Xenopus tropicalis: one gene and its partners. The protein of the gene in region 3 interacts with the protein of the main gene of each other region in a pairwise test. Links are inferred from orthologs where the notes say so. Each region holds a gene or a part of one and is shown on either strand. Other genes may lie near its edges.

Region 1 (2,908 bases), on a different chromosome or scaffold from region 3:
CCGACCAGCAATAGTTACTAGCAGATATGGTCTCCAGCGTACAACATTATATATTCCTTCATTTTTACTAAAAAAAATATTAAAGATCTATCTGTAGCAAAGGATGACAGCACTTTTTCTTTCTCTCAGTGTTGGACTGGGGCTGCGGGGCATTGGGAGAAAATCCAGTCCTGTTACCGGCAAGGGACTGGAATGGAGAAATCAGTTTGCAGCAGCTGAGGTGGGGCGGCAGGGGCAGTATGTGATGGGAGGGGAGACATGGGTCCTCCTTGAGATGGCGGCCCCCAGATACCCCAGCCCTACATTGCTATCTTTGCAGAGTACATACATTCATTATCCAGAAAGCTCCGAATTACAGGAAGACCATCTCCCATAAACTCAATTTTAATAGTTCTAATTTTTTCTATATTTGTAAAAATGATTCAATTTATCTCTATAATAATAATAATAATAAAACAGTACCTTGCACTTGATCCCAACTAAGATATAATTTGCCCTACTGGGTTTAATTAAATGTTTAAATGAGTTTTAGCAGACTTAAGGTTTGGAGATTTACCTCAAAATATAAATGAACTTCTCACACAATATTGGTTTCATTTCACAAAAGTTTACTATAATTAAGTCAGAACACAAACAAGACTGAAATGACCCCTCTACCAAGCTGGTGGCGGTACTTTGTTAAAATCTATGATACTTACAGTAACAATTATCTGAAGTGCACATATTACATTCTACTTAATCCTCAAACAGACAGACATTCTTTATTTATAATTATACATAGAAATATCTACAACTTGCAGCTGTAAAGACTCCCTCCTTATTTATACAGAAAATGGTGGATTCGGTAAAGTGAAAAATATGCATTTGATAAGTGACAGTTATTAAAATAATGAAATATCAAAAGTGAATTCTTTCTTCGGTCTCATCGTTACCCAGCCGTACGTATGCACTGTAGGGACAGCCATTTACCTGCATTATAAACTAGTTATTTAAATGTCCGTTAGCGGAATATCTCGCAGCATCGTCAAACATGTTTCAAGGAAGAAATCTGAAATTCCAGGTCAGCAAAATACAATAAATTTGTTCTAAAGAAAGAAAATACATGATGATAAAGTCATATTGTTAAAAAAACAATGAGAACTGGAATTGGGTTTTTTTTTTTATCAATGTATGTTAATTGGTTTTGGTGAGGTTAATCCTTAAATATAAATGCTTATTTACATTTGATGGTCTCATAAAATATACAGCAATTCATTTATTCTGCCCCAACACCAAGAGCACAGCTGCAGCATTTTGGAAGCTCATTACAAAAATGTCAGAGAAGATACTAATGGCTGGACTTGATCATATTTACTGGAAATCTGTATAGCTGTTCCAATGCATCTGGAGATCTTCTCCTCTTCCCAATATAGGTGCCACAGCATTTTTTCTTTTTAAAAATAAATTGTGTAGTTATCATCATCATCAAGAAGAGGAAGAAGAAACGAAAAAGACCTCCAAAATTGAAGCTATTCACAATCTTCATGATATTGTATTATACATGGAATTATTGCTCAACTGACTGGAATTCTAAATGTGCATTTACTGCAATCAAAAAAAGAAAAAAAAAATACTTGCCTCTGTGAGCTTGTTCCCCAGGAGGAGGACCGGACCATTTGAAATAAATATGCAGCGCTTCTTGGTGATATTTAAATTAAAGACAAAAAAAAATAAAGGAAAAAAACAAACAATTGCTCACAGGTTGTTACTGATTGTACTCCGTTCTAGTCTCCATGATGGATTACATTGCTAATATTGTTATTTCTGCACAATACAGTGTAACCGTAAACAAAACTTATTTCAAATATATCAGATCAGGTTTTACCTTGGATGGGCCTCATTGCTTCAGACTCATAGGTAACTAGGCTGGACTCAATAATAATGTAATTTGCAATCATGGATGGAACACTTAATCCTTAACGATCTATGCACAATTTTGTGTTTGTTTTTTGTGTAATAGCCATCTCATTAGAAATGAATGGGAAAATGTCAAACAATACTTAATGCCTAGAGAATAACAAGAATCCTAACAAGTGCAAGCCCAAAGAGGAAGAACTGATTAAATCTTTGGCTTGGATTTCCTTGATAACAATGTTTTTTTCCCAAGCTGACATTTAGTAAAAAAAGAAACTACTGAATGATTTTTTTGTCCTTTCTTCTCTTAGATAGAGGCAAGAATATTGATGAAGAACTCACAAGCCTGTCATATGAGAAAGGTTGGTCCTAAGAAGACTTAGATAAGATGCAAGAGTCCTTGTTCCAGGAGAACAACCCTTTATATGGAGCAAGAGAGAAGTATTTATTTAGGTTTATCCTTATCCCACATTCATGTTGGGAAGGGCTGATGAAGTCCACTGCCTCAGATTTTGCAGTTTGACGATTCTTGCACTATCTGAATGTGCTACAAAGACTGGGGTACAGCCAAAAATCTCCTACTTGCAAACAGTATATTGTTTCCTGGATTGTTTGCCTACGGAAAGTGGGTGTTATCCCTTACGTAACTGCTATGGGGAAAGGGGACTGCTGTTGATGCTTTCTCGCTCGTGCTATTTTTGGGGATCACGGACCTCCGCTATATGAATAATCTGCCTTGTTGTGCATCACAAGTTTGTTGTCCACAAAGTAGAAACTGTCCGATTGTGTCTCATATGGGTGCAGAATCATTTCGCGAACTGCAAAATAGAATGAGAAAAAAAAGGGGAAACAAGATTTTTATTTTGCAATATTTATTAAACATCAATCTCAAACAAAATGGACCTTCCATTGCCAGAATGTTACAGAATATTATGAGTACAGATTTATTTGGCAAAAATGTACTTTAAGCCATCTAATTCTTTATCTTACAGTCTCAGGGTAGAAGCTTGCACAC
Region 2 (4,202 bases), on a different chromosome or scaffold from region 3:
TGCCCATCTTTAACTTTTAAAGGAACAGTTCAGTGTAAAACTGAAACTGGGTAAAATAGACTGTGCAAAATAAAAAAATGTTTTCAATATGGTTAGTTAGCCGAAAATGTAATCTATAAAGTATTATGTAGGCAGATGTCTAACATAGTAGCCAGAACACTACTTCCTCCTCCTAAGTTGTTAACAGTCAGTTACCAATCAGTGACTTGAGTGGACATAACATTTTGCACAGTCTATTTTACACAGTTTCATTTTTTACTAAACTGTTCCTTAAACAGCAAAATAAGTAGCACAGCTAAGCAGGGAGAGGTGATGGCTGGGGCTTGCGGGCAGACTGGCATTCAAAACAGGCCATGGCATTTCAGGCAGAGATGCCCAAACCAAACAGCCCCCCATCAACCCACTAGTGACTGTCTATGGCATCTTACAGCAGCCTCTCTGGCATTTGCCAGCCAGGGCTTGGGTGGCAGGGTCTGGGCCCACTGAGATTTTTCCTGATATCCTGGTAGTCCAGTTTGACCCTGGAGCTAAGGTCCAGTGCTTAAGGCAGCACCAGACAAATTAAAAAGTTTAGCTTCCATACAGGGCCCAGTGGGCTGCCTATATCGGTCTGTGTATAGACACATGGAAAGACTAAGAATCCTATATATACTAGGGGCTGCCAAAATGTAAAGCACTACCCAGTGCATTACATTACTATACTATCTCCTCAGACCGATGCTCCTTTGTGTCCTTATTTTTTCAGATTTTAGTCTATTACACATGCTCAAATCTAAGTTTATGAAAGGCACAGCTGAACCACTTTTAGAAAGTTTCCCAAGCCAGTAGTGATGTCGGGGTCGACTTCTTGTCGACCTGCACCCCCCCCCCCTCTCCATCTGCACCCAAACTGGCCCGCAGCTTCATGTCTATTAAATAAAAAAAGACTCCAGTGATTAAATTCACTTAGAGGGGAATTTACATATCAACACTTCCCCTACCCCAATGACAAGGTTTCTTTCCCATTAAAGACACAACACATACAAGACCTTAACCACATCATCAAAAATAAGTCTACTTCTATAGAAATAGACCTAGCAATCTGTAATAATGACCACCCCTTCAGATCAAAAAAACCTTATAGAAGCCACTTATCATATACCTCTGCCTATGGCATGAATTCAAACAAAAAAAAAACCACTCATTGAGAAAATGAAATCAAATATCTGATAGGTTGTCATGAGCAACTGAATTGGTGATATGTAGTAGTTGTTATCTTAGTAAATCATCCATACAGAGAGTTAACCCATACAAAATGGCTGCAATGTAACCGATCTAGTGCTTATTTCATAATGCCAGCAGTTGTTGTTTGTCTGTTAAACAAGCAGGTCTGATGCAGACTTGCACTTTTTTGTAGTATTTTATTATACAAATTTTGAGGTGTTTATTGCGTCTCTGAATCCCAATAGTGTGTGTATTTGATGCATTTAATGTTCTAGCACCAAATATAAACCTATAGATAAGTATATCACATATGGTCACACCATGCTGATAGTTTGCATTAATGCCGTATTGCAGGGAAGTCCTACCTGTGGCCTGCCATCTGGACTAGATCTCCCTAAGCGCTAATCACTAATCACTTTTAATCTTCCAAGAGATGCTGAAAGCTCAACAGCTGGAGGGCCAGAGGCTGGTCATCAATGCAACACTGAGATAAAAAAAAATAAAGCCTGAATCACCAGACGCCACTCATTTTTTTGACTTAAATTTATATCTTATACTTACAACACCTGACCTACACCAAGGGACCCATAATTGTGATATCACTTTCTCATAACATGCTCTTTTCCACTTACACCCTTATTGTTGGATACAGTTTGAATCCCTTTAGGATTTGCTTGGCTCTCTCATCCTGAGACATGTTGAATGCTGTCCTTGATTTCCTTTATCAGTTGAAGGATTATCCCTTGAGATATACAGTTCAAGTTTTCCGGTCCTAGTTATGCAAAAGCTATAAAAGCCAGTGTTGAGTTTTACAGTGATTACAATAGACTTCTGGCCTCTGTAGATGATCCAGGTTTGTTAAGCCTGCATAAGATTCATACTGACACAACAAAAGTTTAGTTTGGTTTAAAATTAAATACGATGGTCTTGGAACAGTACTGGTATAAGTCTTGTTTAATTTAAATTTCAGAAAGTACATGCATGACGGTCTCTCGCTGGCCAGTAGAATGACAATAAAATAGGTGTGGCCTAACCCTAACTTGGACTGTCAGAGTAATTCCATTTCAGCCAGTGCTAGCAACAGCAACCAGCACAAGCAATCATAGGTGATCCAACAGTAGCTTCACTCTCTCAGTACATACACGTTTTAATATGCAATATCTTGAGATGTGTCCAAGTGCCAATTCTGGCAGGTGAGTTGGGGCCCTTGCAGCAATTGATGATATGGACAATACACAAAATATAACTGCAATGGTAGATGGTTTGAGCCAGAAAGGGTACAGGCAAGCGATATCAGCCAGTCAGACCACAGGTAGGCTGTACAGGCCAGACATAGTGCAGGTAGGTCGGTGCTGGGGTAATCTAGCAGCATAAACAGCTTCTATGCATTAAGTAGTAGTTCCACACCTATATCACACCCACCACATAGAGTAATAATCCTGAACAGAATTTGCAGTTTTACTTGCACCTGGAGGCGAGCAGCGTGGATTCTGCCTCTGACAGACGCCCTGATCAGCTTTCCGTAACACAGAGGTCCCAGGGCCACGGCACTGGGAAGAACTCTACAATGTTGCACTGCTTTCCGGAATCGTATAGTAACTACTCGTTATGTCAGCATGGATTTAACAACTAGCTCCTCGTCTACAGGATCTGGCTAAGAAGATTTACTAAGCTACATCAGTTCCTCCTATTTGCCCTATGACGTTTAGTACAGTTCAACAAAAAATGCTAGCACCGGCCAATCACAGTCGGAATCCCTGCTGAGTGATATCGCCACGCACCAATTAGGAGAGAGAGAACGTCGCACGCAGGGCGGGACAAATCGATTTCAAGTCTGGTTGAGTGCTCGCGCGTCACTAATTTGAGGAACCTCATGTTGCATAGAAACGGAGGAAAGTTGTACGGGACACGAAAAGGGTCAAAATACATTCACTGGCTACTTGTTCCAGGTGGTAATAGAGAATAATTGAGTTTGGGTGATCTTGCAAAGTTTACTTACTGAAGCAAAGCAATTTAGAGCACAAGTTCACATGTTCACAACTCGTGTAGGTAACTTAATGCATTACATGATGACTGTTAGTAACTACATAGTTGGGAAGATACTGGATTCTATTTTTTTTTATTTTAGGTTAAATTTACTGGCGCAAATTTTCTCCCCCTCTTATTCAACCATAGTTTACAGACCCGGACTGTGATTCAAAATAGGACATGGCATTTCTATTATACAGAGGCCCAAATAGCCCCCCCCCCCCTCCCCAATAAATAGTGACTTGTAGATTGTAAGCTCTTTTGGGCAGGGCCCTCTTCACCTCTTGTATCGGTTACTGATTGCTTTATATGTTACTCTGTATGTCCAATGTATGTAACCCACATATTGTACAGCGCTGCGGAATATGTTGGCGCTTTATAAATAAATGTTAATGTAATAATTTATAGTGCACATCAGGCATTTACCAGAATACACAGATTACCAGTCCAGGCCTGAGGGGCACCGAAATTATATTATATAATGAGAGGCAGTGGGTACTGACTCACAAAATACATTTTATATAATGGGAGGAACTACGTACTGAAAAACCAAATATAAACTGAGAGGAAGTGGGCATTGAAACACTGCCAGGAGAGCTAGTAGGGAGAGGCGACACAAAAATTCTCTTAACTGCACAAAAACTGGATACCTACAGTGGCTTGCAAAAGTATTCGGCCCCCTTGAACTTTTCCACATTTTGTCACATTACAGCCACAAACATGAATCGATTTTATTGGAATTCCACGTGAAAGACCAATACAAAGTGGTGTACACGTGAGAAGTGGAACGAAAATCATACATGATTCCAAACATTTTTTACAAATAAATAACTGCAAAGTGGGGTGTGCGTAATTATTCAGCCCCCTGAGTCAATACTTTGTAGAACCACCTTTTGCTGCAATTACAGCTGCCAGGCTTTTAGGGTATGTCTCTACCAGCTTTGCACATCTAGAGACTGAAATCCTTGCCC
Region 3 (3,658 bases):
GAAACCAATGTAGCATTTTACTGGCTTGTATCTTTGGATGGATAGATGGAAGAGAGACATGACCAGAGAGGAACTACATTCAATACAAAAGACATTCCTGGTACAAATATAGAGTGAATTTGCAGTTGTCTGATAGCCTGCTCTGTATATGTGCCAAGAAAGGCTGACAAACTACATAACTTTTAGGGCACTTAAGACAGAAGTAACTTTATATGTGTCCCCCAATTTTATGGGGAGTTGTAACATCTGTTTGTACCCTGTAACTGTTTGCTAAGGAACTGACAAATCCAAGGGGCTGGATGATAAACTTTCTTTGTATTATTATTGCACTTCCTAATGTATCTTTTCAAACCGCCTCTCACAGTTCCTAGAATTTTCAGTTTTGGGGGAGGCTGATTGGCATGCACCTTAGACTCCACATTCCATTGACCACTATCACAAAAACACTTTGCCACCGGCACTATAAACAAATGGCCTAAATAGTCATAAATCTAAACCTAAAATGTCATTGTGTGTGTGTCTGTGCGAGTGAACTAGGCCTAAAAAATATCAGTGACACTTTCCCTTTAAAAAAATCTTTCATCTGGAAAGATGCTTATTTCTTTTTCACTTTGAAGTGAAGGCTTGTAGTCATTTTATGCCTGACTACTCCTGAATAACTGAAACCTGTCTCTAGTGGTGAGTTGTAAAATGAGCGATGAACTGCACCAGCAACTGTAAAGGCACCGCGAGTCTGCAATAAGCATCATGTGCCACATGTGAGGACATATCACTCCAGCTTCCTAGCTGAAATTTAAGCACTTTTATTAGGTTCTACTTTAGAGATATCAGGCATGCAGGCCTAGAGCGGTCATTAACTTTAACTCCCAGCATAGTCCACGGTTCATGTGAAGCTTACTAACTGCTCATTCAATATTCACTTTTCCCCAAATTAACAGTAGGTTTACCCAGATCCCCTAAGAATCATAAAATCAAAGTTGCTGCTTTTTTGGTAGCTCGACATAGAAAGTGGACTGTTCTCTATTAGGATGCAGGGAATATTACTGACTGCATCTCTGGCCTTAACCTTCCATGTTGTGTTTTTTTGCAGGAGATTTGAGTGTGATTTTTGGTGCCATTGATACAAAATCAGTAAGCGGCACACCTCCCATTTGTTATGGTACCATACCTCTTACCTGCTCATTAACCCATTTGCTTTGGCTACTTACCTTTCACAAGGTGGAAGTGCTTATTTGAGGTGTGTCACTTACCAAGACCTCAATTAGACTGAGTTGGATTCAGAAGGAAACGGTGCTACAGTGAGCAACTGTAGAAATCAGGGGAAACGTACCTCCTGTATTGAGCGAGCTGCTGGCTTGTCCTGGTGGTTGGCCAGTATTAAAAAGGGTAAAGTGCATAACTGTGGGTGCTGCAGAGCTGAATGGAGCTCGTTTCTGGCAGTTTCGAGGTCATCTTCGGACGAGGCACTGTCTAGCACGAATATCACACCCTGGGATCCCTGGTAGTAGCGACTCCAGTACTTCCTGATGTTGGTGGCCCCTTTATGAAAATAAACAAAGATACTTGTTAAAAAGTACATAGAAGTTAAGAAGTACATAGAATGCAAATAGTAGGTCAGTCACCTGTGGCCTTGTAGCTGCTGCTGCTGCCGCCTATGGTTCCCCCCAGCATGTAAATAATGAACATTTACAATGCTGTCACTACTGCAAACAAAACACTTTCTACTCATTTGGCTACCAAACTGCAAATCTTAGGGTGAAGACATACAGAGCTACTTAGTTGCAGCTTTCACGTAGCAAGACAATTATCAGTAAAAGATCAGCATTGTCTATTTCTGTAGCTACGACAAGTAGCTGCTACTAGTAGCTCCATGTGTCTTCACCCTTAGGTAAAAACTCTATTCAAACCTTGCAATTTACAGGATGTTATCTTCCACGTGTTTCCAAGTACAAAGATAAGATATTATAAATATAAATGACATTGGCATTCAGAATAGTTTGATACTTAATATGCATTTAACTACCTAACTTTATTGCATTTAGAGATACCATGGTGCAAATAGTATATTCACATTTTAACTCCTCTCATGCATAGTAAGCCTGCAGGCACAGAAAGCTTGGCAGCTGGGCTAACTGATTTACAGCAGTCATCTATTTGGCCCCTCGGCTACAGGAAGGCTTCCCTGATCATAAAGGCTCTCACTAGAGGGCACACAAACCTCCTGTTTCCTAAGGGGTGAAGACAAACGGAGCTACTAAGTAGCAGCTATTTGTTACGGCTACTGACCACCAGAAAATACCCTGCCATAGACAATACTGAGAATTGCCTTTGCTAAACACGTAGAGACAATTATCAGTAAATGATCAGCATTGTCTATTTCTGTAGCCACGACAAGTAGCTGCTACTAGTAGCTTGATGAATTCAAATGCCCCGAAAGGTGTAAATGGCTGTTCCGTGCATAGCTACAATCCTTGGCCCTGCTGATTTATAGAGCACCAGTCACCTTAGATTTCCCTTTAAATCTTCATACAAATGGTAGAAGACCCAAGCAAGCTTGTTTTGTTTAAGATGATAGATTTGAAGGGTAATTTCATGAAACTGCTGATAAATAAGTTATTTTCCTCAGCAAGAGTTGCAAGCGAACAGCCTGTCCCTGCATCATGTACAATTGCTCCCTCCTGGACCATCAGCAAATACCACATTTCTGTCTTCACATGTGGGGAGAAGGATCCTGGAGGAATATGTTCTTTATGCATCTGTACACTTCCCGGTCCCACTAGAGATAAAACTATTGCGAGACGGAACAATATACATATCGCTGTAATGTGCCGTTCACACAAAACCGATCATTCTTCATGGTGTTGACTCACGCGGAGCAACAATTTAACGGGAACACATCAGACGATCTTAAAAGGGAAATTTTTCAGGGAAATCATCTTGTTGTTGTCTTTGAATCTTGCATAGCAATTAGCCAAGAAGAGTGTAATGTGTGTCTATTTACAACTCCGTCTTGCCTGTAGCTAATTACTCCATGCGTGTTAGCTCTGCGCTTAAAAGAAAACACCATGTGGAGACAGTTTGCAGTCCCAGTGCCATTCCACTCCGTAAGGGTCAGCGATAAGCACGATTCATAACAAACCCGAAAGGGCACTGTTGTTTAGTTAGGTGACTGGTTTGGTTGCATGGATATCAGTATCCAGTTAGGGAGGTCTGTATAACTAGAGATCATCCTCCTGCTACTTTCTTTTTATGCACAGAAATTTAGATTATAAGGCACCGGTGCTAATGCCAAAGTACAAATCTGAAGTCTGTAATGTGTTTAGTTAAAGCCCTGTCACATTTCCATTGACAGGACTCAGCATTAACCTTGCATACTAGAAGACTGGTAAGTTATCATAACACAGCACCAGTCCTTATGGACCCACGTGGCTGCTGGGTTGGCAAATAATCCCCAGTGAGTTGGTGGCCAGCTTAGTCCATCTGTACAGAAGATTGCCACAGTAGTGCATCTTTTAGCATTGCTGCTTTGTAGTGCTGGGCACCTACATTTAATAGAGGAGTTTGTATGTTATCTCATATCTTTGTAGGTCTCCTCTTGGTACTCTGGGTTCCTCTGGCACTTTAAAAACATACTAGCAGGTTTATAGGCTTTCTATGA

Evidence for each region.
Region 1: the proteins of arl15 (region 3) and unc119 interact in binary tests that used the Homo sapiens proteins (3 or more experiments, as listed by UniProt). The link is inferred for Xenopus tropicalis from reciprocal best matches to the Homo sapiens genes ARL15 and UNC119.
Region 2: the proteins of arl15 (region 3) and retinal rod rhodopsin-sensitive cGMP 3',5'-cyclic phosphodiesterase subunit delta interact in binary tests that used the Homo sapiens proteins (3 or more experiments, as listed by UniProt). The link is inferred for Xenopus tropicalis from reciprocal best matches to the Homo sapiens genes ARL15 and PDE6D.

Annotation. Positions count from the first base shown.
Region 1 is NC_030678.2:34,709,128-34,712,035, reverse strand, and holds the end of unc119 (protein unc-119 homolog A), read right to left. Parts: intron 2,712-2,908; coding exon 2,599-2,711; 3' UTR 592-2,598; downstream 1-591. UniProt on the Homo sapiens protein: Involved in synaptic functions in photoreceptor cells, the signal transduction in immune cells as a Src family kinase activator, endosome recycling, the uptake of bacteria and endocytosis, protein trafficking in sensory neurons and as lipid-binding chaperone with specificity for a diverse subset of myristoylated proteins.
Region 2 is NC_030681.2:101,179,463-101,183,664, forward strand, and holds the start of retinal rod rhodopsin-sensitive cGMP 3',5'-cyclic phosphodiesterase subunit delta, read right to left. Parts: upstream 2,927-4,202; 5' UTR 1,901-2,926; coding exon 1,854-1,900; intron 1-1,853. UniProt on the Homo sapiens protein: Promotes the release of prenylated target proteins from cellular membranes. Modulates the activity of prenylated or palmitoylated Ras family members by regulating their subcellular location.
Region 3 is NC_030677.2:192,109,557-192,113,214, reverse strand, and holds part of arl15 (ADP-ribosylation factor-like protein 15), read right to left. Parts: intron 1,540-3,658; coding exon 1,331-1,539; intron 1-1,330.